4 linked regions of the Diceros bicornis minor genome follow. The protein of the gene in region 2 binds, or shares a complex with, the protein of the main gene of each other region. Links are inferred from orthologs where the notes say so. Each region holds a gene or a part of one and is shown on either strand. Other genes may lie near its edges. The genes, in order: SNRPD3, GPKOW, SNIP1 and SNRPD2.

Region 1 (7,892 bases), on a different chromosome or scaffold from region 2:
CTGCCTACCCCTACTCCTTCTCCTTTATTGTCAGTTCCTCCAATAAGTCTCTTGCACAACTAATTTTGTCTTGGCATCTACATCTCAGACAACTCAAAATAACACCATTCCCATTTTACGGATAAGGTAACTGAGGTGATTAACATGCCTAAGATTAGACAATTAGGATTTAAACCCACATGTGATGGTTTAAAGAACAAGAGAGAAAGTGTGCTGATACACTTTGTAAAGCAATGTTATACAAACTCACGTGATTATTAGCAAAAGGCAAACAAAATCGTGCCACGGGAAGGGCATTGTATCAGGAAGCTGCCCCAACATTTATTAGCAGATTGACATTCAGTAGATGAGTCTATTAATCTTATTCTCCCTACTATACGGATGACAAACCTATCACCAATTCTGCTTACCTCACAAGGTAGTTGCTATAATCAAACAAGATGCCTCCTCCAAGAAAAATGGCAAACATAGCACGTGAGTGTAAGATTCTGCTTAGCACCAAGCATTACGCAAATGTGTAGGGGCAAATGGATAATGGCCCCGATCCTGACGGATTCTACTGAAGGTAGTAGAGCTATGTTTCCTAAACAGGTCTCCAAAATATGGAAGAAAATGATTATGGGATGGAGAAAACAAAGCACAAAGTTAAATATTCCCAATGGCTCTTATTTATGCCCAAATGCCCAGCCACTATAACAGTTCCTAACACACATCAGGCACTCAATAAATAACCGAGGAATGAGAACAACTTCAAAAAGACCTCCAATCACCATCTTTCTGTCCAAGACAGAGGCCCAAGCTTCCCCCCAGCCTCATGTGCAAAGCAAGATACCTGGCAGTTCATGTTGTCCTCCGCTTCAATGAGCTTCCCACGATACACCTCACCGGTATTTGTCTCACATGTCACAATGTGACCCTCAGCCTCGTGTAGGACTTTAATGGGCACGCCAATAGACATCTTGGCAGGAAGAGAGTTCTACGGTGAAACAGACAACAGTTAGTCCATCTTTCAGAGCCTGAGAAGGCATGTAGCACACACCATGCCTCCCTCAAGGCCTGACACTCCATAAAACTTAGTAAAAATGCCAAAGCTGCACTTTCTATAGAAAAAAGGAGCTTAAGGGGCCAGCCCAGTAGCCTAGTGGTTAACTTTGCATGCTCTGCTTAGGCGGCCCGGGGTTCACAGGTTCGGATCCCAGGTGCGGACCTATGCAGCACTCATCAAGCCATGCTGTGGCAGCGTCCCACATACAAAATAGAAAAAGAGTGGCAGAGATGTTAGCTCAGGGCCAATCTTCCTCAGCAAAAAGAGGAAGATTGGCAACAGATATGAGCTCAGGGCCAATGTTCCTCACCAAAAAAAAAAAAAAAAATAGAGCTTAACTCCTAGCTTGAGGACCCTATCTGGCAAACACATGCAAGATGTGGGGTAGGGGGAAAGAGGGGGCCTGGGAATGAAAAGAAAGTACTTTCCATCTCCCTCCCTGCTACCATATGTCCCTTTATCTTCATCAAATAACCATTAACCATACTGTGTGTTGGGGGAAAGGGGGTTGGAATGAACGTGCATACAAGGTATCTGTCAACCCATAGTTGTGGTTAACACCACTTTGAGAACTCATGACATAGACCTGAGCTGTCCAATACAGTAGCCACAGTCCACATGTAGCTATTTAAACTCAATCAAAATGAAATAAAATTAAAATATTCAGTCCCTCAGTCACACTAGCCACACTTCAAGCGCTCAGTGGCTACATGTGGGTACTAGTATTGGGCACATGTGTACAGTATCAGGCAATTCAGATACAGACCAAAGGATCCAGGCAAATCTGGTAGAAGAGGCTGTGCATTCAATTCAACCCATTAAGTGCCCATGACCCTCCACTTACTTCACCATCAAGGCTAAAAAGAAAATACAAAGTGCTCACAAAGCGACAATGTGCAGGAAATCCAGGTAGGAAAAATATAATCAGGGTAAGTGACTGACTTGATGTCACAGAAGAGACAAGCAGTGGACTTTTTATTCCAAGGTGAGCAACGACTGAAGGTTGGAACATATTATGTGTGGTCAAGACAGGAAAGGGAACACGAGGTTGGGAAAGACAAGTTCCCTTGGTGAGGAGCTTTAGGAGTCTAGATTTTATACTTGAAGGCAGCGGGGAATCACTGCAGGATTATAGGTAAGGAATGATCAAATGAAAAGGCAGCAGCACTTACAACAAAATGGATCGAACACGGTTTAGAAGCAGGGAAACTTGACAGAACTTCTGTAACAGCGTGGAAAGCAGGAGAGGACCAGCGGCTGAAAGGGGGATGGAGGCAGAGATGCAAAGAACTTTGAAAAAGATTACCCAGGTAGGATTTGGGGAAGGAGGCAACCAGCCAGGAATGATTTCAAGACTACTGCCTGGATGCTTCGAAAAACACTGACTTGGAGAGGTATAGAAGGCGAAGAACATGTACTCTGGGGAAAAGCTAATGAACTCACTTCCAGGCGCTAGGGAGGCACCGCTGATGCTCGGGTGGCCCAGCCTTCTCCGCTCTTCTCCCTCCTCGAGCCCTGCAGAGCTCGTCGGCAGCGCCTCCTTCCCCAGCCCCCGGGCCCTCACGGGTGCCTCGGCCTACCCTCGCCCGCCCCCGGCCTCTCCTCACCGGCTCCGGCCTCCTCTTCCTTTCTAGGGCGGCAGGGACTCTGGCGAACGCGTAAGCGTGTGGGGAACTAATGGCGGGGCCCGCGCTCCCAGAATACCACGCGTTCCCAAAATGCCTCGCGCAGGACCCGCCCCTTTCCTTTTCCTAGCGGTGACCGCGGTCTCGTCTCTCCTTCCTCCTCACTCCGCCGGCTAGGAAACGTGCGCTCTAGTATGATAGTTCCGGCCCCGGAATGGACGGCTGATGACCGGGCCCAGGTACTGCCGGAAACACCGACCCCCGGGGCGGCAAGGGGAGAGGACGACTCGCGCTTCCTAGCACCCCAGACCAGGGACGGACTGCACCGCAAGGCGGGGATCGGGGTCGGCAGGCAGTGGGGCCGAGGGTCCAAGACCTCCCCTCACAATTTAATCTTTGGAACCCGGCACCTCTAGGTAAGGGGCGTCCTGATTGAGGCGACCTATCTCACCGTACGGATAGGGAAACAGGTATAGAGTAGAGCGGGGGCAGGCCCAGGGTCGTGGTCTCCCGAGGCCCGCGGTGTATGGGGCAGGACCAGACCTTAGACCTGAGGCTGGGGCTGGGCAGACACGGAGCTTGCTAAGGGAAGAGCCTCTGGGGAGCCAATGTTCCTGGAACGCTGGGGTTAGGGGCGGGGCTCAGGAAAGGGGCGGGGCTTCCGGGGAACGGAGGCGGAGAAGGGCCTGCGCGTCTGCGCGAGGGCTGGGAAAGGGGCGGGGCCACCAGAAGCCGAGACAGCGAAAGGCGGGGGCGGGCTTAGAGCAGGAGGCTTGGGGGCCTCTAAGAACAGGACTCGGGGAGAGGGGAGGGGAGGGGAGGGGCTTAATGAAGGGGCGGGCCCCCGGATCCCAGGCCTGGAAGGGCCGGGGCGGGGCTTGGGGCGGCACAGCTGCCGCCTCCCCTTCTCCCCACCGCGGTGGCAGTGGCGGCAGAGGAGCACGACACGCGCCGGCCCCGCTCGCGCCCCAGCCAAAGGCGAAGCTGCAGCCGGCGCCGGGCCGGGGCCATGGGCGCCCCGCGCCGCCCGGGTCATGAGGACGGAGGCGGAGGCAGCGGGGGCGCCGCTCGAGTCCGGTCAGTGCTTCCCCGAGGGCCCACCCCTCACCCCGGGGAACGAGGGGACCCCGCCCTAGCTCGGGGCAGGGTCTGGCTGCGCGACCTTGGGCTGACCGCCGCCTCAGGCTGTAGAGCTTTGAGTGAAACCTGGCCAGGTGTACACTCCCGCCTGGGCCCCCACTCTCCCCAGCTGCCATCAGTTGGTGTTTCCTGTTACTCCCAGGGTTGGGACCCCAGTAGTTCTGATAGCGGTCGTGATGGGAGGGTCCTGATTGTGAGGCAGGGGCGCCACCTTCCCCGAAGCGAAAAGTCCTGCTGGAGCCGCAGGTAGATCCTGTCCCCTAGGGGAACTGTGGGAGAACTGACGCCTAGAAGGGCGGGGAGCTGGCCGAGAACACAGCAGTGGGAGGTCCCCTTCCCCTGGCCTCCCCGGCTTAGCCTTTAGTCTTGCTACAGTCCTCATCCTCTGGTTCCTTCTGCCCCAAGGTGGTCTGAGTTCCTTTAGGGCGGAAACCAAGACTGACATCCAGTGCGTGGGCCACAGTTTGCTTCTCTAAGTGGGGGAGGAAGTAGTGATTCCTGCTCCGGGTGAGGTGTAGGGTTGATGAGAAAGAGAAAGTAAACTCTAAAGCTAGTAAACTTTAAAGTGAGGTACCAGCTCATGGGAGAGGTCAAGAGCATGCCCAGCCCCACCCTAAGGCATCAGTGGGACCATGGTGTCCCACCTAGGGAGTGGTCTCTTTTGTGATTACAACAAGGAGTAGGGTCTGATGCTGTCCTGGGATTTGCATCCCTACTCCTCCAACTCTGTGATCTTGGACCAGGCGCTTGCCTTTCCTGAGCCTCCGTGGAGTAATGGCTCACATTCGTGGGGAGCTTTCTATGGGCAGGCACTGTGCTAAATTGTTTACATGCAGTGCCTCGTTAATCCCCATAACGACCCCATGAAGTAGGTTACCATCGTTATTTGCGCTTTTGCAGATGAGCAGACTGAGGCTGAGGGGTTAAGTATCCAGGGCCAGTGAGCTGCCTTCCTTCCTTGGCGACACCTGCCAACTGAAGCCAGGCCAGGGCCTTCCAGGCAGACGCTAGCTCTCAGGTGAGACAGTCCCTTGGCTCCAAGCATCAACAACTGGCAGCAGCTTTGGGCTTGGAAGGCCTCACCTACCCTTATCACTCCCCACAGGAGTATCTCTGAGTTCCATTGGGCTGACCTGCCCCTGCCAAGACTGGGATGGTCAGGTGGGGATGTATAGCCCTGCCGGGTCTCAGGATCAAGGTGTTTTAGGGATTGGGGCAAGAAGAGGAGGGGCAGTGGAGTTCCTGAGGGCCCTACAGAGAGCTGTCCTATGCCACATTTACAGCTAGGCATAGGAGAAGGCACAGACAGAGTCAAAGCCTGGCCAAAGATGGCCCAGCTAGCTGATGTGAGAGCCCAGGCCACAAAGTAAGTAGGGAGCTGTGAACAGAGGTCCATAGTCTGGAAGCCTGGGTGGGGGAGCATTGCAGTGACAAGTAGACATCGCAAGGGATAAGGCCTTTTTGGAAAAACGCCTTCCAATCACCGAGCATGTATGAATGCCTGCACTGGGCCTAGGGCTGGGAAGAGACAAATGCAACCCTGTCCCTGCCTGTCACTGAGGAATTCTTGGCCTGTCTGGTGGGGAAGGCAGACACCACCTCAAATACTCCATATTGAAGGGCTCAGAGAGGGAAAGAAACCAGAGCATTTGGACATTCAGAGATGGGAGATAACAGTCTGACTAAGGGATATGCAAGAGCAAAGGCTGAGGAGTAAACAGCCTGTGTAGAGAAAAACAAAAAGGGCAGTTTATGGCCACAGTGAGGGGTTCTTGATAAGGGAGGTATCCCACCATGAGGGAACAGCACCCTACTTAGAGCTCTCCTTCCACTCAGCTCATTGGGGGGAATTATTTTAGAATATGAATCCCTGGAGGACAGGGCTTGGGTCTTGGTCACCTTTAGTGTCCCCAGAGGCTAGCACACAGTGGGTGTTTAATAAGTTCATTTCTTCCAACAAATGTTTATTGAGTTACTACTAAGCATTAGACACTAGGCACTGGAAATAACAGTGAACAAGATTAGCAAATTCTCTGCCCTCAGGAAGCTTATAGTCTAGTGGGGAGACAAAGTAGCTTTAGTTTTTTTTTGTTGTTACTTTTATTAAGTACTGTGAAGGAAACAAACAGGATGCTGTGAAGGAGGGCCCCCCCTACAGCAAAGGCATAGTCAGCAAAAGCCTCTTAGAGGAGGAGACTTTGAGCATTGCCTCTCTAAGGCACACCTCACCCTTTTCCCTAGTCTAGTCCCCTGTTTTTCTCTTATACTTGCCTGTTTTTGCTGTCCACCGGGACAGGGCCCTGTCTATGTCTCTCACCACTGTATCTCCAGTTATGTGCCAGGCTCTTGGGAAATATTTGTTGATCGAATGGCTGAATCAGACCAAAGTCCCCCACTTTAGAGATGGCCAGACCCAGACCAGCAAGAGGAAGTCAGCTACTCAGCCCACAGCCAGCCAGTGACAGAGCCAGGGCTAGAATGCCTAGGTCTGGCCCATTCTGCTCCGCCTCACTGCTTGGCAAGGACAGACTGAGCGGTTGCCGAGGATAGCTTTCCACATACACTGATCACCTTACAGTCCCTTCCTCCTAACTATGGTCTTCACACATTGTTGGCCCAGGGGACTTTGGAGTCAGGCAAACCTCCAGAGGCCTCGTGAATTCAGACATGAATATCTGCTGAGTGCCTCTCATGTGCTGGCCCTATCTCTGCCTCCCTGGAGCTCCCACTGCTCTGAGAGTGCACAGAGTGGGGGGGCTGAGCATGACGGGCAGCGTCGTGGAGAAGTGACGTCCGAAGACAGGAGTTAGCTCAGGCGCCTGTGATGCCAAGAGAGTCCAGGCAGAGGGAGTAGGTATGCAAAGGCCCAGAGGCATAGGGGATCACAGCAGCTGAAGGTCTGCCTGGAGGGTGACCTGTTGAGGATGAGGGGAGGTGAGGAAGCAGAGGGCGCTGGGGCAGCAGCCTTGAAGGCATTGTCCTAAGAGATATGGGAACCAACCCACTGGAGGATTTTGAGTCAGGCTGAGCTGTTCCGACTGGTGTTTTGGGAGATCACTGCTATTGTAAGGAGAAAGGGTCGGGGGGCCTGAAAGGCTGTGGGCTGGCCCCTGAACAACCCCTGCAAGATCTGGGCAGGAGCCAAAGACGGTGGCTCCAATGGGGGCAGCAGTGGTGGGCACTATGCCAAGGGTCTGTGACCTCCCTGTGTTTCCATGCAGGGGATTTTGTGCAGCTGCCCGTGCCCATCATCCAGCAGCTCTACCACTGGGACTGTGGCCTGGCCTGCTCCAGGATGGTGCTGCGGTGAGTGGGCAGGCTGAGGCCCTCCCCATCCACACCACCTTCTCCGGGTTGGGGAAGACAGAGGGAGAGACCTGGGTGGGATTCATCATCCATGTGGCTGTCCTTTGTTGGGGCTTGTGGGAAGTTCAGCTTCCAACCAGGCTTAGTCCCATCTGCAAAAACAAGAAGTGGACCAGGCCTTCCAGGTCTCCACTCTGGAAATGCCTGAGGGCTCTGGGGATGGTCAGGGAAGTTCCAGGTGCCTAGGCCTGGCCCACAGAGTCACCCCATGATGGGACAGAGGGCCCTCCACCCTTCCAGCCTCGGGCTCCTGGGAGACTGGGTCACTGGGGAGTTGACTGCTAAGCTGAGGCTGTGTGAACATCACAGGAACCTTGACCATCAGAGCCTGAAGGGACCATAGCCATGTCCTTGTAGGAGAGTTTTTAGGTGGCTGCCTGGAACCCCAGAGAAGCCTCTCCCTTACCTGTTTTATATCTTGGAGTTCCAGGCAAGAAAAGGTTCAACAAAAGGTGTCTGTGCCTAGAACTTAGAAAATCACTGACGTGGTCCAAGCACCTCATCCTAGAAACAAAGCTAATGAGGCCAGAGAGGGCGGCAACTTGCCCAAAGTCACACAGCCTGCAAGAGACTCAAGAAGCACAATCTAGGCCCTCAACTCCGAGGTCAGCATGGCACCCCAGGCAGCCTCAGGTTGTGTCCAGGCAGTATGTGGGCAGGACATAGGGTTTCATGCCAAAGGGTGGAGACTTCTGGGGAGTGGGAGCTCTGATAGT
Region 2 (6,848 bases):
CACAATAAACAAAAGACACAAAACACGATACGTCAGGTAGTGGTGAGTTATATGAAGAAAAATAATGCAGCTTAAGGGCACGCAGAGGGATGAAGAAGGGAGTGTCACTGAGTTGATATCTGAGCAGAGAGCAGAAGGAGATGACAGAGGGAGCCCGAGGATATGAGAAGGAAGAGTGTTCCACGCAGAGAGAACAGTAAGAGCCAAGGCCCTAAAGGAGGACAAGATCTGGTATGTATGAAGAGCATCCCGCAAGTCAACCTGACTGAAACAGAGATGTGGAGGCAGAGAGGGGTGGTAAGAGGTTAATCAGGAGAGCTGGGCAGGAGCCACAAGAGGGTGGCAGCCACAAGGCGGACGAGTGAGGAAGTAACTTCAAGAGTCCAGATGAGAGATGCTGGTGGCTCAGACCAGAGTGGTGGTGGTGCTGATGGTGAGAAGTGGTCAGATTCTGGATGTATTTTGAAAAGGGAGATGATAGGATTTTGCTGACAGGTTGTCTATGGGGTATAAAATAAACAGGGGAGTCAAGGGTGACTCTAAGGTTTTAGGCTGAGTGAGGGGAAGGGTGGCTGGAACTGTGATCAATTCAGATGTGGAAGGCTGCGAAAGGAGGGAAGATCAGAGAAATGAGACCAAACTGGAACAGAATGGAGAGTGAAGTGCAAGTCTTTTTTTTTTTCAGATAAAAGAAACCAGAGGACATCTGAAGGCTGATGAAAACAATTCAGTTGAAAGAGAAGGTGGTCTGGGGCTATAGAACTGGGCTCCAAAGAAGCACTGCAAAAAGATTGTGAGTGAAGAGGTGAAAGTGGGGTCTATGGGTATGCAAGACAGACTTGGTTACTTCTGTAGACACGCCCCTCATCTCTCCGGTTATCACCTCCCATCATCACTCCCTCAATTCTTTATAGTCCCTCCAGACACACCACAAGTTGCCTCACTGACAGACACACACCACACTGATTTCCTGCCACCATACCATTGTTTGGGTCATCGCTGCCATTAGGAGTACTCATCCTGCTCTTCCCTGTCTCACTAAACCCTACCTGTCCTTCCAGGCCTGACTCCTACCACTGTGGTCTGAGTCACCACCATCTCTAGCCTGGACTACTGGTCTCCTTGCTTCCACTTCTGCTTACTAGTGTGTCCTGCTCACAGCAGCCAGAGAGATCCTGTCAAATCATAAGTCTCATCTCTTCTCAGCTGAGAGCCCTCCCATGGCTCTCATCTCATTCAGAGTAAAAGCCAAAGTCCTCACCATGGCCCACAATGCCCTGCCTGGTTTAGCCCCCCACTTCTGACCTCATCTACTCCTCCTCTTCCTCACTCATTCCACTCCAACTACACTTGTCTCCTTGGTGTTCCTCAAACACCCCAGGAAGAGTCTATCCTCAGGGTCTTTATATTTCCTGTTTCCTTTACTCCTCATGTCATTCAGATAATCCCAGAATCCAACTACTTTTTCACGCCTCAGTATTTGGATTCATTTGTTAATGCTTCCAAAAAAGATGGAAGGAGGAGGGGATAGGCAGCAGGTGGCTAGTACACACAGACTTTCCCTGCTGTGTGCAGGGAGGCAAGCCTGGCAGACAGGGCAAAGAAAGGCTGGGGCAGGAGAGGGGTTGGGGCCAGCTCACTGTCTCAGCCCGGGGTTCGCCGTCTGCCTCTTCCCCGTTGGGGGTGCATCCTTTCTGGATCATGGGGATAGCGAGCGTGGGGTCGACACTCGCATTCTCTCTCTCCTCCAGAGACTTCTTGGATTCTAAGGAAGAATGGGAGGGAGCAATGAGGTCTCACTCTATCCTTCCATTTTCCTCCCCTTCTTCCTTCACTGGGGCAAGGCAAAGGGGAGATCACTCACCCTCAATGAGCTCCTTCACAGCCTGGGACAGCACCCCATCCGCCAAGGCCTCAGTATCTGTGGATGGCCTAGGGGCCTGGGTCGGTGGCTGCCTGCAATGGCCATTCTGGATCAAAGGGATGATGAGTTCCTTGGGGGCTTCTGAAGGCTTCACACTGACGTGGACACAGAGGGGTGAAGTTGGGAGAGTAGCATTGTCAGTAGGTTCTGAGCCACACCGCTTCACTCAGAGAAAACACAAGAGCCAAACTCTCCCCCAACCCCACGGACCACACCCTCCGTTCTCCTGTCTGGCTCTCCAGTTACGTCTCTGATGGTGCTTTCTTCAGATTCTCTTCCCCATGTCCAACTCTTAAATGTCAGTGCTTTTGAGGAATCAGTCCTCAGTCCTGGACCTTCTGTTCCTCCCAAGACCCACTTCCATGGCTTCCACAATAACCCACAAATCACCATCTTCAGCCCAGACTCTCTCCCCAGCTCCAGGCTCCACGCCAGCCTCCTGGATGGTTGATTCTCTTCTGGAAGTACCTCCCTCAGATTCTCCTTCCCGAACTAAGCTGATGATGGACTCCCCCAACCTGAATCTGCTGCTCCGTCCCGTTCCCCCTATCGGAGAAGCACCACTTCAGTTGAGACGCTGGGGTCCTGTCATTCTCCCCTCCTTTCCTGCTCTCAGAACGCACACACCTCAGGGTCCCCAAGTCCTAAAGACACTCCTCAAGAATACATTCTCTCTTCTCAATCCCCAAGGCCATCAGGCTATATTTCCCCACCTCTCCTACAAACTCTCGCCTTCTTGCCTCCACGAATTTCCTCAGGCTGTGCTTCAGCCTTTTCAGGTCACTGTCACCAACACAATCAACTCAGATTCCACCTTCCTGCTTGCACCCACCGCACGGATTTCCAAAGGATGAAAGACCCGGCGCTTCACCTTTGCAGCTCCCTCCCTTCCACGGTCTTCAAGAAATCCTTCTCCTCCGGAGCTGCACCTGCGCCATCTCCCGGGTCCGCCAGCCGTCTCCGGGCGGACGTGCGACTGAAGCTGAATGAAATTGGGGCATTGGAGGCTCCCGCCAGCCGCAAAACTCCTTCCTCGGCGTCTGCCATCTTTCCCTTCTTCCCAGGCCGGCCCGCTGCTTGCTGGGAAGTTTAGTTTGGGCTCAGTTTTCCGGGGGCGGACAACGCGTGCCAGAACTACCTTTCCCATAAAACACTGCGGCATCGGCAGGCGGAGGCGGATAGGGGTCGGTAGGAAGTAATTGTCGCTCTTTTTAATTCGTAGGAGCGTGTCGCGCCAAGCGTACCGGGAAATGTAGTTCTTCAGGGAGGTAGGCGTGGTAGAAGGTGGAGCCATTCTTGCCAGGTATTCCTTCCTTCGTGTAAGCGTTTGACAAGTATTTATTGATCGCCTACTGTGTACACGTTACCGTGCCCTACTGGTGTGGGAAGTGTAGGTAAAATAAATCAGTAAGGAAAAAATCTGTGAGTGCTAATTTGTGTACAATAATAAATAGACATATAAATGGTGCCTACCGATGCTACATTTAATACTCGACAAGCTCTGGGTTCAAATATTAATAAAATAGACCTCCTCCTCTCTAGAAGCTTGGAGTCCAATGGGAAACAATGACACTTAAAAGGATATTTTTAAAAAAATATTTCCTACTGATATTAAATATGTTGTGAGATCCAGGTTCTAAGGCTTCAAAAGATTACTGAGACAGATTCCTCTTGTGTAAGACCTTAAGAGTTTGTAAAGCCACGTGCGGTGGCACGCGCCTGTAGTCCCCACTACTCGGGAGTTTGTAAAGTAAAAGATTGATACTTAAACAAATAGTCACAAAAAAGAATACTACAAATCTGCTAAAAATTTATCCCAAAGAAATCATTGAATATGTGCAAAAAGATTTTTATATGAGATTCATCATAGTATTATTTATAGTAGGAAAAGCTTGAAGACCACTTAAATGAACAACAGAAGGGAGTAGGGTAAATTAATTATAGCACATGCCTTGGATGGAACGAATATACTAGAGCCTTTATTTTTTTATTTTTAATTTTTTTGTGTGAGGAGGACTAGCCCTGAGCTAACATCTGATGCCAATCCTCCCCTTTTTTCTTGAGGAAGATTGGCCCTGAGCTAACATCCGTGACCATCTTCCTCTACTTTATATGGGACACCGCCACAGCATGGCTTAGCAAGCGATGCGTCAGTGCACGCCCGGGATCCGAACCTGCGAACTCCTGGCCACCGCAGTGGAGCGTGCGCACTTAACCGTTTTCACCACCCGCCGGCCCCTAGAGCCTTTTTTTTTTAATTTTATTTATTTATTTTTTCCCCCAAAGCTCCAGCAGATAGTTGTATGTCATAGCTGCACATCCTTCTAGTTGCTGTATGTGGGACGCGGCCTCAGCATGGCTAGAGAAGCGGTGCGTCGGTGCACGCCCGGGATCCAAACCCAGGCAGCCAGCAGCAGAGCGTGCGCACCTAACCGCTAAGCCACCGGGCCGGCCCTCCTAGAGCCTTTAAACGTGAAGCTATTGTAGCTGGCCCGGTGGTGCAAGCAGTTAAGTGCGCAGGCTCCGCTGTGGCGGCCAGGGGTTCGCAAGTTCGGATCCTGGGCGCGCACCGATGCACCGCTTGTCAAGCCATGCTGTGGCGGCATCCCATATAAAAGTATAGGAAGATGGGCATGGATGTTAGCTCAGGGCCAATCTTCCTCAGCAAAAAAAAAAAAAAAGAGGAGGATGGGGATTGGATGTTAGCTCAGGGCTGATCTTCCTCACACACACAATAAATAAATAAATAAATAAATAAATAAATAAATAAATGTGAAGCTATAAATATAATTAAACTAAATGGGGACATAGTCATAATGTTTGGAAAGTAGAGTAGTATGGTGGGTGAGGGGATGGTCTTGAACACGGGAAGCCCAATATTCAGTCAATCTCATGGCCATGTTTCCAGGCTTGGAAGTCCCTAGCATCCTGGGAGACATCCTGGGATGGGCCCTGGAATCTCAAAGGTGAAGCCACTGTGGTTTTCAATATACAACGACAAAACCAAAAATCTTTAAATATTTATTTTGAAATAAATGTAGACTTAAAGAAATGTTGCAAAAATAGTATGGAGAGTTCCTGTATATCCTTTATCCAGATCCTCCTAAACATTTTCTATAACAATAGTATAATTATCAAAATCAGAAAATTAACATTGGTGCAATACTATTAACTAAACTATAGACCATTATCCATTCCAGGATTTAATCTAGGATTACACATTACATGTAATTGTAATGCCTCCTTAGTCTCCTCTAGTCTATGACAGTTCCTCAGTCTTTCCTTGTCTTTCATGACCTTAACACTTTTGTAAAGTACAGTTCAGTTATTTTGTAGAATGTCTCTCAATTTGGGCTTATCTGATGATTCCTCACGATTAGACTGAGGTTATGGATTTTTGGCAATAACGCCACAGAGGTGATGTGCTCTTCTCATCACATCATATCAGGCGGTTCATGACATTATATCTTACTACTAATGATGTGAACATTGCCTGGGAGGCTAACTGTCCAAGGCTGAAGTGATACTCACTTCCTGAAGCAGCCACCTGAGGCAGTGTGCACGATACAGGCTTATACAGGCTGGGGCCAGAGGTCCTTGAAAGAGTCTTGCCTTCTCCGCTGGTTCACACCTGGTCTCTGGCTTGCTCCTGACATATACCTTGGAGATCACGCCAAGCTACCCTGGGTTGCTTCACCACCAAAACTTTGTGGTGAAAATGCAATGGGAGAAAAGACACTTTTTTATTGTAATGTATTATTTTATTGAGGTCACATTGGTTTATAACACTGTGTAAATTTCAGGTGTACATCATTATATTTTGGCTTCTGTATAGCTGCATGGTGTTCACCACCAAAAGTCTAGTTTCCATCCGTCACCATACACATGTGCCCCTGTACTCCCTTTGCCCTCCCCCTACCCCCTTCCCCTCTGGTAACCACCAATCTGCTCTCCTTGTCTATGTGTTGATCTTCCCCATATGAATGAAATCATACGGTGTTTGTCTTTCTCTGCCTGACTTATTTTGCTTAGCATAATACCTTCAAGGTCCATCCATGTTGTTGCAAATGGCAGGATTTCATCTTTTTTATGGTTGAGTAGTATTCCATTGTACATATATACCACATCTTTATTCATTCATCCATTGATGGGCACTTGGATTGCTTTCACGTCTTGGCTATTGTGAATAATGCTGCAATGAACATAAAGGTGCATATACCTTTTGAATTAGTGTTTTCATGTTCTTTGGATAAATACCCAGATGTGGAATAGCTGGATCATATGGTATTTCTTTTTTCTTTTTTTTTTTTTTTAGATTTTGAAGATTTAATCCTCCAAAAAGATAATAAAATAAGTCATTAATAACTTTTGTAATACTGATTAAATGTTGAAATGATAATACAGTCATGCGTTGCCTAACTATAGGGATACATTCTGAGAAATGTGTGGTTAGGTGATATTATCATTGTGTGAACATCATAGAGTGTACTTACACAAACCTAGATGGTATGGCTGACTACACACTTAAGCTATACGGTACTAATCTTATGGGACCACCATCGTATATGAGATCCGTCATTGACGGAAACATCATTACGCAGTACATGACTATATTTTGGATCTATTGGGTCAAATGACATGTAATTAAAATTGATTTCACCTGTTTCTTTTTACTTACTATGGCTTCTAGAAAACTTAAAATTACGTATGCGGCTCACATTTGTAGCTCTTATTAAATGTCTATTGCACAGAGCTACTCTGGAGCAGTGGTTTTCTAGAGCAGCAGTAGCAGCACCTGGGAACTCCTTAGAAATGCAAATCCTCAGGCCCTACCCAAGACCTACTGAATCAGAAACTCTGGTAGGGCCCAGCAATCTGTGTTTAACGAGCTTTCCAGGTGATCCTGATTCACACTGAAGTTTGA
Region 3 (7,862 bases), on a different chromosome or scaffold from region 2:
CGGGAGCAGAAATGCACCACGTCTGCTGCAAACCACACTTCCCACTGGGAAGGGCTCTAGGGTGTGTCCTCCTCACTTGGAGTCAGGCCTCAGGGAGTGGCCTTGAGTGGCCCCAGGAGCCCTGCCATGCAGCCACCACTCTGAACTTGGCTCTTGGGAGCACAGGCAGTCAACAAGCCCCTTGTGGCCAGGGCAGAGGGAGACAGGAGCCCTAGGTTTGTTTGCAGCCATGGGGCCCCTCTCTTCCATCCTCAGCCAGAAACTGGGTACTATTCAAAGAAAGCTGCCTTTTTCAATTTGAAGATGGTGGCTGTTTTAAAGTGGCTGGGAAATCCCCTTGGCTGGACTGGGTTGGGGCTGGCAACAGCGGGGTCTAGAGCTCGCCCACCCGTCTCCTCCATCAAGGCTGACCTGGAGGGCCAACCATAATCATACGCCGACTAAAGGGAGCTGCTAGACTCTGCAGCTGCCTCAGGGTTTGGAGGTGGTTTGCATGTCAGAGTCCACACCGGCCGGTGAAAGTGGGCGAGGGACAGAGACATTCGACACCAGCACTTGTGGAGGGAAATCTTAAATCCTTTGTATCCGTCGGTTAACAACACATTACCCTGAAATATTTTTCTGGACCAAGGGCCAAATGTTGATAGATGGATATAAGTATAGAACATTAATTTTTCTAATCAAAAAATTAACACATGCTTATTATAGAAGTCTTGGAAAAAAACGAAGATTTAAAATGGAAGTTCTCATCTTACTCCAAACAACTGCTGCGGGATGAAGAACCAGGTTGTCAAGTGGGGGACTGGTAGGTGGGGGACAGGTAGGAGAGGTGGGGCTGGACGGGGAGGGGGCGCATGTAGCGGTCCCTGGGTGGGAGGGACCAGATGATTCCAGGATGGGATAGGCTGTAGCTCGGGGATACTCAGGGCTTGGGTCTGTGCTGAAGAGGAAGGGAAGGAGGCAGGTGTCCCGTACCCCGCCCCCAGCCACTCACCGAAACACTGCAAGTAGAGCTCCCGGCGGACAGGGCAGATGCCGGTCTCCCTGGCCTGCCGCTGCTGCAGCTTCAGGTCCAGCTGTTCCTGCAGGTGCACCACATCCATCCTGGTGCTGGGGGTGCTGGACACCTGCTGGATCCATAGCTGCGTGTCTTCTACCCACTCCCTGCGGCACAGACACAGCCAGCCTGAGCAAAACCCATTGACCAGAGAGGGTCCTCGAGACATGAGCAGAGAAGGCCCTTTGAGCTCTCTGCCTGAGAGGTGTGAGGGACAGCTCTGTCCTCGACCCACCAGAATCTTCCATCCTTCTCTCTTCCTTGGGGAGTGTGTGGTTTCAAGGCCACCCTCACTATGCTGCCTCCACAAAGCCTCTACCTTGGAGCTGGGCCATCTCCACTCTCCCACAGCCCTCCATGAAATCATCACCCACGTTCCAAATCTTACCCTCTTTACATGTTGAGGACAGACTTATGGTCGTTGTTGATCTCAACAGAAGGCCCAGTGGGAATTCTCCACTGACTTGTCGGGTGGGAGACACAGGGCACCACAAATCTTGTGCCAGCCAGAAAGAGGCAAATGTGTGTACTGGGGAGAGGGGAGGTTCTTGAAGGTGTGTGCCTATGTGGGCCTCCCCACGATGAACCTTGTATCAGAGGCATGGCCAGGTTCCAGAATTACAAGGAAGGAGCCTGAGGATAGAACCGCCATGGGGGAGAGAATTTCCAGGCATTGGTAGGAGGGCGTCAATTGAAAAATCACCCACTCCCCTCTTTGACCCCCTTCTCGGAGGAAATCGCAGTCTCTCTTTTACTGTTTCTCCTTTCCATCATAGCCTTAAAAACTGTGCTATCAACTTATTACATAAAAATAGTCAAAAAGGCATGCCACATAGTGATAAATGTGGCTGTAGAAGAGAGAAGCCAGGTAAGGGGATGGTGAAGAAAGAAGGCGCTCTTTTACAAGGATGCTCAAGGAAGGCCTCCTTAAGGAAACGACATTTGAGCAAGACCTGAGTGAAGAAGAGAACCAGGCAGATATCAGAGGAAGAGTGTCATTGGCAGTGAGAACAGCAAGTGCCAAGGTCCTGCGGTGGAAGAGCGATGGAAGTGTTTCAGAAACAGCAAGCAGAGGCCTCTGCGGCATTAGCACAGTGAACAAGGAGGAGAATACCAGGAGATAAGATCCTGGGTCTATCAGGAGCCAGATCACGCCAGCTCTTCCAGGCCACTGTAAGGACTTTGGATTTTAGCCTGAGCGAAATGGGAAGCCATTAAAGAGTTTCTAGCAGAAGACTGGCATGATCTGACTTATGATTTCAGGGCAGTGTGCAGATTAAATTACAGGGGCAAAGAGTAGAAGCAGGGTTTTCAGATAGGAGGCCATTGCAGTACTGCAGGTGACAAATAGTGACAGGAACAAGATGGTGGAAGCAGAGGTGGTGAAAAGTGGCTGGATTTGGAATATAATTTTAAGGTGGAGCCAAAAGAATTTGATGAAGGATAGGACATGTGACATGAGGGACCAAAAGGAATGGAAGGTGGCCTGAGCGCCTAGTAGAAAGGAGAAGCCTGGGGACGAGCAGGTTGGAGGAGGAAGAAATTGTGATTTAGTGTGGACATGCTGAGTTGAGATATCTATTAGACATCCTCATGAAGATAATGAGGAAGCAGTAGAACATATGGGGCTGGAGTTTAGGGGATAGGACAGAGCTGGAAATGCACATTTGGGAGCCATCAGCGTATAGATGGGATCTAAAGCCATGAGCCTGGGCGCGAGCCCTCAGGAGATGAGGATGGATAGAGAAGAGGTCTCCTCCCACCCTCTCAGCATCCAGCCATCTGCAAGCTCTAGGAGCTCTGGGATGCTGGGAGGAAATCCCAGCCAGGAACAGAGACAGACTGCCTCCTCCCACATTCCCAAGTTCTAGGATGCAAAAGCCTGGGCCTTCTCCCAGACACTGCTCCTACTTTTTTACCTTGGGGGCAGGATGGCATTCAAGATTTCTTCAGCCTGCTTTGTAGGATCTGGGACACAGGAAGTTGAGGGGACCTTGGTTTTTGGTGGCTGCGGGACTGGACCTGAGGGTCCAGGCTGCTGGGGGCTGACTTTCAGTGGCCGAGCCTGAGAAGAAGGGACAAGTTAGGGCAGGAGGTGACAGACACTCAGCTCCACACATCCTGGCCTTCTGGATTGCTCCAGGTCTCCTGCACATCGTCCCCTATTCCCAGCTCACTTTCCCCACCTGTCTTCTCAGCAGAAGTTACATCTCAGAGCTGAAGGGGGCCATAGCCTCTGGTCCTACCCCAACCCAATGCTTGTATCTCCTTGAAGTGATGTTTCTGGCACGGGTGCTCAAGCCTCTGCTTTCACACCTCTAGTGATGGGTGTGAAATCACTACCAGATCTATTTTGGACCCAGCTACCATGAAAAAGAGTAAGCCCCATTCATCTCCCTGTGACTTCCTTCCCCATTCTAAATCTGCCCTCTGGGGTTACCCAACATCTGGCCTTCTTGTAACGCTCTCCCACACTCCTTCCCCCGTTCCAAGTCCCTTTACTCCCAGCCTCTGTCCCTCGGGACTCCCTATCCTCAACGCGGGGTCTCTCTTCTCATTGGAGCTTCGGGCTCCTCCGCCCCCTGAGACCCGTCCTTACTTTGGGACTCCGTTTCTCCGTGTTCCGGCTCACCAACACCGGGGTGTCATACTTGAGCAGAGAGTCCGCGGGGGGAATCATGGCGGCGGCGAAGGTAGTAGCCCAGCGGCGGCCCCTCGAATCATGGCCCTGTTTGCCATCACCATGGAAACCTCTCCTAGCCTCATGGCCTGGGCGGGGCTTCGGGGTGGGGCGGGGCCAGCGGCGCGGGAGTTTCTGCCCAGCTTTTCCCGTGCTTCGCTTGTCAGGCCTCCTGCTCGCCGGGTCGCATCGGTACTCTTGGAAGCAGAGAAAACGGATTCGAGTCCCTGCGCTGCGTCTAGCTCACAATTCGAATAAGGTGGCAGATCACCTTCGCTGACCCCCGATTTTGTCACCTGCAAAATGGGAGTCATCTGACTCCTCAGTGAAGGATTGAGAAAGATTCCCAGAGGAGGGCCTCTGGAGTTCCCCGGTTTTAAAAAGTATTTGTGGGGGCCGGCCCCTTGGCTGGCGGGCTGCACTTCAGTGGCTCGGATCCCAGAGCCCGGAACCCGCAGCACGACCTACACCACTCCTTAGCCATGTTGTGGCAGTGCCCCACATACAAAATAGAGGAAGATTGGCACAGATGTTAGCTCAGAGCAAATCTTTCTCACACCAAAAAATAAATAAATAAAATAAAAAGTATTTTTTAATTAAATGGAGAAATGACAACATAAAAGAAAGTTCAAGAATAGAGGGGAAATACTAATGATTTGCCCACAGGCTATCACCTATGATTGCATTTCCTTCTCTTCTCCTTTCTTTCTCTTTTCAAACGTAAACATAGCCACAATTTTGTATCCTGCTTCTTTCGTTTAACAAACCAGGGTTTTTTCCATTTGTCATACAGTTTGTAAATAGCACTGCGAATGGCGACATACATCCATCAATCGGCTAAACAATTTCCCACCGCTGGGCATTTCGGTTGTCTCCGTGTTTAGTAATTACTAATAACGCGACAACAAACAGCCTTGAGAGTAGCTTTTTCGCAGAAGTTTGCTTTTGAAACTCAAAACTCCCGCCACCTGAACCGGGTCCCTACGGCCCCGCCGACTACGGAGTCGTGGTCACGTGTCTAGCCCCTCCGCCGCGAGGGTTTCTGGGAGAGCGCGCACCCCGGAAGCGGAAGTGCGGGGGGGGGTGTAAAGCCCGTCATTTCCTTCAGCGAGAGGAGCACAACGGACGTATTTTCGCTTCGCTCAGCGGGTCTCTCAGCATGAAGGAGGTGAAGAGCGAGCGGGAGCGGGGGAGCCGGCGACGGCACCGGGACGGGGACATGGTGGCGGCGGCGGCGGCCGTGGTGGTGAAGCAAGAGCGACTCAGCCCGGAAGCAGCGCCCCCCGCCCACCGCCGTCCGGACTCCGCCGGCGGGAGCCCGTCCCCGCCGGCCGGCGAGCCAGGCCGCCCGGGTCACCGCGGGAACCGAGCCCGAGGAGGTAGCCGGTAAGTGGGAAGCAGCCCGGGGTGGACCTTACGTCGGGCTCTGAGAAGGGAGGACAGGGCTAGCGTCAGAAGCACACCTTGAAGCGAGGGCAGCAGCTTGGACTTCATCCTAAGGCGGTGGAAGTGACCCGCTAGTGCTTGGGTTAAATGTTTACTCCGGTACCTGTCACTTGCGTTATAGCTGGGCGTTAAGCGGCTAATCTAACGAGCAGGGTCCGCCCCTTCATCTCTGAGTGCGCAGCATTTCGCGGAGTATGGCCCAGCAGGTAGGACTGACCATTTAAGTTGAAATGAAAGATTTTCCCCATGTGACTGCAAATGGAGTGCGGGCGTTGTCTTTTCAGTCATCTGCCCGGAAAGGTTTACACATCGAGGGCCTAGGCGATCTCCCTGATAGAAATTCTGGAAAAAGAAAATTGTTTTCTACTGGATTGGCTCATTTATTCATTCATTCAACATAGTTTTACCGAGTACCTGTTATGTGCTCAAGACTGGGGCTGTAAGGGTGAACAAGGTAGGTGGCCTTTACCCTCGCGAAATTTGATGTGCTCTAGCCCTGAGACAAAATAACAAGCAAATAAAATAGTTTCAGTTAATGACACGTGTTAGGGATAGGTTAAAACAGTCATGTGATAGTGAGAGATTGGAGGGAAGTGGGAGAAGGCCCCTCCGAATAGGTGCCATTTGAGCTGAGACCTGAATGATAATAATCCAGCCATGTAAAGATGTAGGCAGAGGAAACAACATGTGCAAAGAACCTGAAGTAGGATGAATTGTAATTGTTCTAGAAATAGGGGGGAAAAAAAAACAGCAAACCCCAGTGTAGTGATCAAGAAGAGTGGTAGGAATGAGGTGGGAGAGGGAGGAGATGGAGCCGGAGCTGATGGGTTGAATGTGATTGTGGGGGAAGAGTAGGGAGTGGCTGTTGGTGGTGAGGAAAAAGAAAATCAAGGGTGACTTCTAGGTTTTTGGCTTGAGGAAGAGGGTGGATGGTGGTGCCAGTTACAGAGATGGCAGAGAGGAAAGACAGAGAGGAAATTTTTTTTTTTTTTTTTTTTTTTTTTTTTGCTGAGGAAGATTTGCCCTGAGCTAACATCTGTGCCAGTCTTCCTCTGTTTTGTATGTGGGACGCCACCACACCATGGCCGATGACTAGTGGTGTAGGTCCGTGCCCAGGAACCAAACGTGGGCCACTGAAGCGGAGTACGCCGAACTTAACCACTAGGCCACGGGCCTGCTCCAAGGAAAGGTTTTTGAGGGGTTGGGAATCAAGAGTTATGTTATGTAAGTGAGAATATTCAGTAGGCAGTTACATATGTGGGTCCAGGACTCAAGGGAGACGTTAGGACTAGGAAACAGAAGCTCCTGGCTCCTTTGTGTGATCGGCAGAGACCTTCACAAATGTGTTTGTGTTAGTAGGTGAGCCTGATAGTTGCAGCTAATTTGTGTGGAGGAAGGGAAATCGAGATAAAATCCTGTGTGTCCCATGCTCTGAAAAGGTCCCCAGCCAAAAAGAAAAACAAGTCCTCAGGGAGAAGAAGCAAGTCTCCTAGGAGTAAGAGAAGCCGAAGTCCTCACCACTCAACAGTCAAAGTGAAGCAGGTAAGTGGATTGAAATGTTTTGACACTAGGTGCAAATCTAGAGCCTCTTCCCATCCTAGCTGGAGAGTGTTGTGTATGTGTTCACCTGTACCTGCCGTGGGCTTTGCTAAAAACTGGTTTTGTTTTTGGTTTTTTTTTCTGCTTGCTTTTTTAAACTGAACTTTTTATTTTGAGATAGTTGTTGATTCACAAGCAGTTGTGAGAAATAATACAGAGGTATACTCTTCATCCTGTTTCTCCCAAAGGTAACGTCTTACAGAATTATAGTACAATATCGCACCAGAGTATTGACATCAATACAGTCGAGGTACAGAACATTTCCATCACCACAAGCATCTCTCATGTTGTCCTTTGTAGTCATACCCTCTTCCCTCCCACCCATACCCCTCAACTCCTGGCACCTTTTTATCTCTTCTCCATTTCCATAATTCTGTTGCTCAAGAATGTTATATAAATGGAATCATACAGTATGTAATCTTTAGGGACTGGCTTTTTTTACTCAGTAAAATTCTTTGGAGATTTGTTCAGGCTGTTGCATCTATCAGTAGTTCATTCTTTTTTATTGCTGAGTGGTATTCAATGGTATGGATTTAACCATTTGCCCATTAAAGAACACCTTGGTTGTTTCTAGTTTTTGGCTATTACACATATGGCTGCTGTATAAACATTGGTGTGCAGGTTTTTGTGTGAACTTAAGTTTTCATTTCTCTGGGATAAATGCCTAGGAGTGCAGTTGCTGGATCATATGGTAGTTGCATGTTTAATTTTTTTTAAGAACTTGCCAAATTGTTTTCCAGAGTGTCTGTGTTAGTTTGCTAGGGCTCCCATAACAAAATACCACAGATCGGAAGGCTTAAACAACAGAAACTTATTCTCTCACAGTTCTGGAGACTTGAAGTCGAAGATCAAGGTGTCAGCAGATTTGGTTTCTTCTGAGGCCTTTCTCCTTGGCTTGCAAATGGCTACCTTCTCGGCTGTGCCCCCCCATGGTGTTTCCCCTGTGTGCTAATATCCCTGGTGTCTCTTCCTTTTCTCATAAGGACACCAGTCGTATTGGATTAGGACCTCACTTTCATTTTAACTTAATCCTTTAAAGATCTTATCTCCAAAAAAATGGTTATATTCTGAGGTGTGGGG
Region 4 (7,330 bases), on a different chromosome or scaffold from region 2:
CATGTGTTAGGTACTGAGCCAAGTATTTCTCATACATAATAACGTTTAATCTGCACAACTGTACAATGAGGGGTATTATGATGATGCACGTTTTGCAGATAGGGAAACTGAGGCCCAGAGAGGAAAAATCACTTGCTGTTCCCTCTGCCTGAAACACTCAGACCCTAGCTTGCTCCTTTATTTTTCTTTTGGTGAGGAAGATTCGCTTTGAGCTAACATCTGTGCCAATCTTGTTTTTTTTTTTTTTGCTTGAGGAAGATTAGCCGTGACCCAACACCTGTGCCAACCTTCCTCTATTTCCTATGTGGGCTGCTGCCACAGCATGGCTTGACGAGTGGTGTAGGTCCGCGCCTGGGACCTGAACCTGCAAACCTGGGCCACTGAAGCGGAGAGCACGGGACTTAACCACTACGCCACGGGGCTGGCCCCGCTTGTTCCTTCATTTTATTCAACTTGTTCACTGTTGCCTCTTCCGACCAGACCTCTCTGATTACATCTAAGACAGCACCCCCTTCTCAGAACTCCACCCTCTTACCTTTACTCTTCTTCATACAACTTGTCATCATCTGTCTTTATGACACATTATTTATGTGTTTGCTGCTGGCTTTCTTACCTACAGCATAAGCTCCCTGAGTATAGGACCCAGGTTTGTTTTAGTCACTGCTATATCTCCAGAGCCTCACACAGTACCCGGCACGGGCGGACACGCTATGTCACAACTGCAAAAAAGGATCAGGAGCATCCTGTGCGCCAGATGCTGTACTTCTAATGACCCACTAAACTTCACCTATATTAAGTCACTGAATCTTTGCAACCACCATGATCACTGCCACTGTATGGATGAAAGTCACTTGCCAAAGGTCACATGGCTGCTAAGAGGCAGAGTTGGGGCGTGACCCCGGGAGGACTGGCTGCCAAGTACGTGGCCATAACCACTGCACTTCACAGCTGGAAGGGCAATGGGGGACAGTCACACTTCGGGGTTTTGAGATACTATGCCCCGGGCTTCTGAGAAATGCTTTATTCCAGCTCCCTATAGGGCAGCTGGCAGTGCTTCTCCAGGCCTGGACGGAACACCTCCCAAGACCCAGGCGCTCACCTGTCGAAGGCCTTCACACGGCCCAGGAGCTTCTTGTTGTTGCGACAGTTAATGAGCACTTGGGTGTTGTTCTTGACGGACTGCGTGAGCACGGAGAGGGGACCCGTGTTAAACTCCTCCTCCTCCCGCTTCTGCAGCTCCTCCGGGGTCATCTCACTCTTGGGCTTGTTGAGGAGGCTCCTGAGTGGGCAAGCACGGAACCCGTGAGTGAGAGGGCCTGGCTGGAGCGTGGGTGGTCATGGCCTGTGCTCAGGCCTCCCGACCTTGCCCCAACCCCCCCAACCCCCCCCCCACCTCAGTCTTCTCGCTTGGCAGCACCATTAGGCTGCCTAACCGACATTTCTAACCCTGCACCTCTTACGTTGGGCTCCAGATCTCCCAACCACCCCGATCTGCTCTATCCATAGCCTTCCTCATCTCCGTCACTGGCACCTCCACCCTTCTAGCTCTTTAAGCAAAAACTCTGAGGCCAACTTGACTCTTCTCTCTCTTTTTTTTTTGCTGAGCAAGATTAGCCCTGAGCTAACATCTGTGCCAATCTTCCTCTATTTTGTATGTGGGTTGCTGCCACAGCATGGCTGACAAGTGGTGTAGGTCTGTGCCCAGGATCTGAACCCATGAAGCTGGGCCGCCAAAGCAGAGCACATGGAACTTAACCACTACGCCACAGGACCGACCTGACTCTTCTCTTTCTTTCTCTCACATCCTACATTCAATCTGTCAGCAAGTCCTGTCATGGGCCTTTCAAATATATCCAGAAAACGACAAAATAAAATATATCCAGAATCTGACCATTTCCTACCAGGGCCTAAAGCTCCGTCATCTCTCTCCTAGGGTCTTACTGGTCTCCCTGCCTCCACCCATGCTCCCCAACAGTCTGTTCTCCAGACTTAAGTCATATCATCTCACTCTTCAAAACCCTCCCATGGCTCCCTTCTTGGTGTAAAAAGTAAAATCCAACGTTTTTACAATGCCCTACATCTGCCCCCTTCTGGCTGTTCCAGCCACAGTGGCCTCCTCCGCGGTCCTTGAAGATATCAGGCAAACTTTCATCCTGGGCCTCTGCATTTGCTTTTCTCTCAGTCTAGCAACCCCCCGCCCAGGTATCTTTGTGGTTCGCTCTCTCACTTTCTTCAGGTCTTCGCTCAAGTGATGCCTCCTCATTGTGTCCTTCAGTCTCTCAAAACCGGCATTCCCCATTGTTTTTCTGCTGCTCCATTATTTCTTCATCCATAGCCCTGGTCACCTAACACACCATATACTTTACCTGTTTATTATCATTACACTTATGCTTCTTCCCACCCCATAAGCTGCAGCGGCGGACTTTTTCTTTGGGAGGGAGACAACTCACTGATGTATCTAAAGCAGTGCCTGATACATGCGCAGTCAATAAATAATTACTAAATGAATAAATAAGTCAAATCATTCCGGGGACTCGTTATCCGTAAAAGTCGCGAATTAGGTCGTAAAGCTCATAAGATCCGGTTAAGTCCCTTACCTCAAACCTTTATTCCTACAAGTCCGCACTGCCCTCTCCCAGGGTCTTTATTCGTAAAATCACTGCCCCTTAACATTCATTTCAACAAGACTAAGCATTTGGGAAAGCCCTCGCCCGTTATCTGATAAAGCCGTTCCCTCTCCCGAGGTCAGGATCCGCCAAAGGCCCCACGCCCGTGCGCAAACTCATCAGGAGAAAAGTACGCCACTTTAACCCTAAACTCTCTGCCCCCGCCCCCCGCTCTGCCCACCCCCTTCCACCGGTAAGCGGCCCAGTTTACACCCTCAACCCCACTCCCGCCACCTAAGCCCGGCCCGGCCTCACATGGTGGCAGTGACTGCGTTCTCAACGCACTCCCGTCTTCTCCGCGTTGCTTCTGCCTCTAAAGAGAGAGCGAAAGGCGGGACTTCCGCTTCCGGCAGCCCACTTCCGTGGGCGCCTGCGCACACCCAACCCGCGACTGGGGGCGTGGCCTGTTGCCATAGCGATCCCCGCCCGCCCGGCCCAGCGGCGGGAGACGAGTGCTGCGTAGTGGTTCGAGGCCATTCGGGACCGTATGGGGCAGATGTTCACGACCACGGAGAGGAAAAGAAAGCGGGTTCGACCCAAACCATTTTGTCGTAGAACGGCACAGGTTGAAGGAGGGAAAGGACACGCCGTTTCCAAATACCCGCCGGCCCTGCCTCCGGGGGCGCGGCCTCCGCGAAGCCAATCCGCTCCTCGCTTCAGGGATGGACACCGCCCCTTTCCCCTCGGGGGCTGGTTATTTACGTGTCTATTGATCTTTCCGACTCCGCGTAACCAATCCTCTGCCTACATCCGGAGGGGCGTGGACCTGCGCCCCGGAGGGCGCCTGTTTAACGTGATCAAACGCTTCTCATTGGCTTCTCCTCCTCCGCTGAGGCGGAGTCCACCCCTTCCGCGCTCCCTTTTGGGTTGTGCAGCCCTCCGGGGGAACCAACCCCAAAGCCCGCGGGAGACGGGGAGGCGTGTCCTCAGAGCGGGAGTCCCCATTGGCTTCAGTGCTGGCAGGAGGGTCGGATGGTTCAGCCGCTCTTGTTCTTTGGTCCGCTGATTTCATGGGGTGGGACTTGGCTTGGCCTAAATTCTATCCGCGGTCCCGGACCGGTTTCAGGGCGAAGCTGCCATGCGTTCCGGGGGCCGCGGGCGGCCCCGGCCACGGCCCGGAGAACGCGGCCTCTTGGAGCCACCCTCACCGCCCAAGCGCCGCCTGCTACCGCGGGTACCGCTGTTGCCCCTGCTGCTGCTGGCGCTGGCCGTGGCCTGGGCGTTCTACACCATCTGGAGCGGCTGGCACCGCCGGACGGAGGAGCCGCCGCCGGCCCGGGAGCTGCGGGTGAGGCCGGGCGGGGGGCGGGCACCGCGGGGGCCCTCATTCCCCGGCTCCCCTTCCCTAAGGTCTCAGGTTGACGTGGCTTTCTCGTATGGCCCTAACCGCAGGTGCCACTGTCTCGGTCATTAGATCGCACGCCCCTTGCCAATGGAATGAAGCTTCGGGCTTGTTCTGTAACAGTGGCTCCGCTTTAAGAGGAAGGGTCTGGAGTAATAAGACAGAGTTCTGGGTTCTAATCCTAAAGTCAGCTATTTGGCGGAGTCCCTTCTTCTCGCTGGACCTCGATTTCCCCATCAGGGTTGGGGTGGGCTGGACCGGATGGGCTTGGAGGGACTTTTCCTGAGTCTAGAATTTATCCTAGAAACCTCCGATGCTAGAGACCGCGATTAGCGAGAGGAATTGGGGCTTCTTAGGGGTGGCGGCGCCCGGGGTAGGGTCGGAATGGGGGTTGTTATCACACTCTGCTCTTCTCTGCCCCATCCCACCCCACTCCCAAGGGCCCGTTGATCGGAAGCCTCCCCGAAGCCCGGCTGCGGAAGGTGGTGGGGCGACTGGACCCACAGCGTCTCTGGAACGCTTATCTGCGCCCCCTGCTGGTTGTACGGACCCCGGGCAGCCCGGGCAATCTCCAAGTCAGAAAGGTAAAGGGCCCCGCCTCCAACCCCTGATCCGCAGCCCGCCAGGGAACAGGAGATAGGCATTCTGCCTAAGATCCCAAAGCAGCTAAGAGGCAGAGCTGGGGCTCTGATTGGAGCTAATCTGGCTCTAGAGTCCCACCTGGTAATCACCAGGCTGTACTGCCCCCACCGAAAACGTGCTATGTGCTAGGCACAAGCAGCAGCCCTGTGAGGTGGGTACCAATGTGATCTTCGTTATGCAGATGGGGAAACTGAGGCCCAGAGCAGTTAGGCATCTTGTCCAAAGCCCACAGCTAATAAATGGTATACTTAGGGTTTCAACCCAAACAGGTTGGTTCCAGAGCTGGTGCTGTAACATCTCTATATTGCTTCCCAGAAAGCATGGATAGTCATGTGAACACTGCCTGAGTTCAAATCTCACCTCAGCCACTTGGAGTGTGACCTTGGACTCGTTTCTTAACCTCTCTGTGCCTGTTTCCTTATCTGCAAAATGGAGCCATTGACAGTTCCTACCCCACAGGGTTCCTAGTGCTATTGAAGAGGGAGCTGTGATTAATCTTGTTGGCATCAAGGGGCGGGATCACCCCACCCCTGGCACTCAGTAGAGACTCAGCAGAAGTGTGTCAAGGGAATGATTTAAACCACAGTGGGACTTGTGAGTCAACCTGGCTGCTCTGCACGGCTCAGGTCACATGGCCCTGCTCCCCAGTCCCCGCCCACCCTCCCGCCTCTCTCGCCACTAGTTCCTGGAGGCCACGCTTCGGGCCCTGACGGCAGGCTGGCATGTGGAGCTGGACCCCTTCACGTCCTCGACGCCCCTGGGGCCACTGGACTTTGGCAACGTGGTGGCCACACTTGACCCAGGGGCTGCCCGTCACCTCACCCTTGCCTGCCATTACGACTCCAAGCTCTTCCCATCTGGGTCAGCCCCCTTCGTGGGGGCCACAGATTCAGCTGTGCCTTGCGCCCTGCTCCTGGAGCTGGCCCAAGCCCTTGACTTGGAGTTGAGCAGAGCCAAGAATCAGGTGAGGAGTGGGGGAAGGGGAAGGGTGGGAGTCGGGGCTGCCTCTACCTTGGTCCAAGCCACCACCCTCCCTTACCTGGTTTTGTCTTCCTGCCTCTACTCCACACACAAAGCCACAGGGATCTTTCCACCTTCTGAATGTCAGATCCTGTCCCTCCTCTGCCCTTTGGGAGCCCTTCCATGGCTCCCACCTCACTCCTCTGGCATAAGCCAGAGTCCTTATAGTGGCCCATGAGGTGTGCCTTGTTACCTCTCTAGTCTTATCTACCACCTCTCACCCCTCGCTCACTCCACTCTAGCCACCCACCTCATCTGTGTACCTCAAACCCACAAAATTCACTCTCACCGCAGGACATTTGCACTTGCTGTTTGCTCTGCCCAGAATGTGCTTTTCTCAGACATTTTCCTGGGTGGCTCCCACCCTCATTCAGGTGTCCACTCCAAAGTCACCTCCTCAAAGAGGCCTTCCCAACCCCCCTAAAATAGCTCCTGGCACTATCTCATGCTTTATGCTGCTTTATGTTGACTTGTTTTTCTCCCCAACTAGAATAAGCCCCATACAGGCAGGGACTTAGCTGCTTTTGTTTCCTGCTGTATTTCCTGGGCCCAGAATATTGCCTGGCATAGAGGAGGAGGTCAATAAAAATGTATGGAATGGGGCTGGCCCGGTGGCTTAGCGGTTAAGTGCACGCGCTCCGCTACTGGTGGCCTGGGTTTGGATCCTGGACGCGCACCCACGCACCGCTTCTCCAGCCATGCTGAGGCCGCGTCCCACATACAGCAACTAGAAGGATGTGCAACTATGACATACAACTATCTACTGGGGCTTTGGGGGAAAAAAGGAGAAGGATTGGCAATAGATGTTAGCTCAGAGCCGGTCTTCCTCAGCAAAAAGAGGAGGATTAGCACAGATGTTAGCTCAGGGCTGATCTTCCTCACAAAAAAAAAATGTATGGAATGAATGAACGAAAACACAAGTCCCCTCACGCTCCTCCCCTGCTCAGCCCCTTCCATGGCTCAAACCCCAGTGCCCCAAGCTCCCTGGCCCTTGCTGAACCCTCGGGCCTTTTCTCAAACCCCTCTCGCCCCAGCCCTGCTCCATGTTGCTTCCCTGCCTGGGAACACTCTTCCCTCTGCTCCACTTTGCCAGACCAGCTCCCACTCACTCTCCACGCGAACATCCCTTCCCAACAGACCCAGATGTGCTTCCTGAGCGAGGTTATCCTCCGCCCCCTTCCTACGCGCTCTCAGGACCCTGTAGTTCTCGGAAGCATGTGTCTCAACTGCATTTCACTGTTTGTATAATTATTCATTTGTAGGTCTGTCTCTTTCGCTAAACAAGCTTGAGGAATAATGAAAATAATCAGAGCCAACCCTTATTTAGTTACTATAGGCCAGACACTGATCGAGGACCTGGATTCGAATCCCGCCCTGTGATTAGACCTGGATGAACCTCATTTCTACATAAAGAAACAGATGCTTTGGGAAGTTAGTAACTTACCCATGGCTCATCGGCTACGCAGCGGCTGAGCCGGGATTTGAACCCAGGCGGCCTGGTTCAGAGTCTGTACTCTTGGCTGGTTTGCCCCACTCAGCTGTGCACGCGGGCAGGAAAGCCACGTGGGTGGCTTGAGGCGGGGGCGGCAGCGAGCTGGTCCTGACCACCGGCTCCCGCAGGCGGCCCCGGTGACCCTGCAGCTGCTCTTCTTGGACGGCG

Evidence for each region.
Region 1: GPKOW (region 2) and SNRPD3 share a complex: the UniProt entries of both Homo sapiens proteins name them as parts of the minor spliceosome. The link is inferred for Diceros bicornis minor from reciprocal best matches to the Homo sapiens genes GPKOW and SNRPD3.
Region 3: GPKOW (region 2) and SNIP1 share a complex: the UniProt entries of both Homo sapiens proteins name them as parts of the minor spliceosome. The link is inferred for Diceros bicornis minor from reciprocal best matches to the Homo sapiens genes GPKOW and SNIP1.
Region 4: GPKOW (region 2) and SNRPD2 share a complex: the UniProt entries of both Homo sapiens proteins name them as parts of the minor spliceosome. The link is inferred for Diceros bicornis minor from reciprocal best matches to the Homo sapiens genes GPKOW and SNRPD2.

The regions. Positions count from the first base shown.
Region 1 is NC_080774.1:28,860,905-28,868,796, forward strand, and holds the start of SNRPD3 (small nuclear ribonucleoprotein Sm D3), read right to left. Parts: upstream 3,010-7,892; 5' UTR 2,653-3,009; intron 2,583-2,652; exon of another isoform or gene 2,489-2,582; intron 2,303-2,488; exon of another isoform or gene 2,218-2,302; intron 977-2,217; 5' UTR 959-976; coding exon 833-958; intron 1-832. Other genes in the region: protein GUCD1, read left to right, coding at 3,705-3,747, 7,032-7,116. UniProt on the Homo sapiens protein: Plays a role in pre-mRNA splicing as a core component of the spliceosomal U1, U2, U4 and U5 small nuclear ribonucleoproteins (snRNPs), the building blocks of the spliceosome.
Region 2 is NC_080781.1:42,340,983-42,347,830, forward strand, and holds the start of GPKOW (G-patch domain and KOW motifs-containing protein), read right to left. Parts: upstream 3,010-6,848; 5' UTR 2,972-3,009; coding exon 2,796-2,971; intron 2,020-2,795; coding exon 1,865-2,019; intron 1,766-1,864; coding exon 1,641-1,765; intron 1-1,640. UniProt on the Homo sapiens protein: RNA-binding protein involved in pre-mRNA splicing. As a component of the minor spliceosome, involved in the splicing of U12-type introns in pre-mRNAs.
Region 3 is NC_080752.1:51,594,304-51,602,165, reverse strand, and holds the start of SNIP1 (smad nuclear-interacting protein 1), read left to right. Parts: upstream 1-4,845; 5' UTR 4,846-4,896; coding exon 4,897-5,123; intron 5,124-6,622; coding exon 6,623-6,725; intron 6,726-7,862. Other genes in the region: DNALI1 (axonemal dynein light intermediate polypeptide 1), read right to left, coding at 995-1,164, 2,977-3,122, 3,657-3,737. UniProt on the Homo sapiens protein: Required for pre-mRNA splicing as component of the spliceosome. As a component of the minor spliceosome, involved in the splicing of U12-type introns in pre-mRNAs. Down-regulates NF-kappa-B signaling by competing with RELA for CREBBP/EP300 binding.
Region 4 is NC_080773.1:19,907,270-19,914,599, forward strand, and holds the start of SNRPD2 (small nuclear ribonucleoprotein Sm D2), read right to left. Parts: upstream 3,017-7,330; 5' UTR 2,924-3,016; coding exon 2,922-2,923; intron 1,280-2,921; coding exon 1,100-1,279; intron 1-1,099. Other genes in the region: QPCTL (glutaminyl-peptide cyclotransferase-like protein), read left to right, coding at 3,745-3,954, 4,449-4,592, 5,333-5,614, 7,291-7,330. UniProt on the Homo sapiens protein: Plays a role in pre-mRNA splicing as a core component of the spliceosomal U1, U2, U4 and U5 small nuclear ribonucleoproteins (snRNPs), the building blocks of the spliceosome.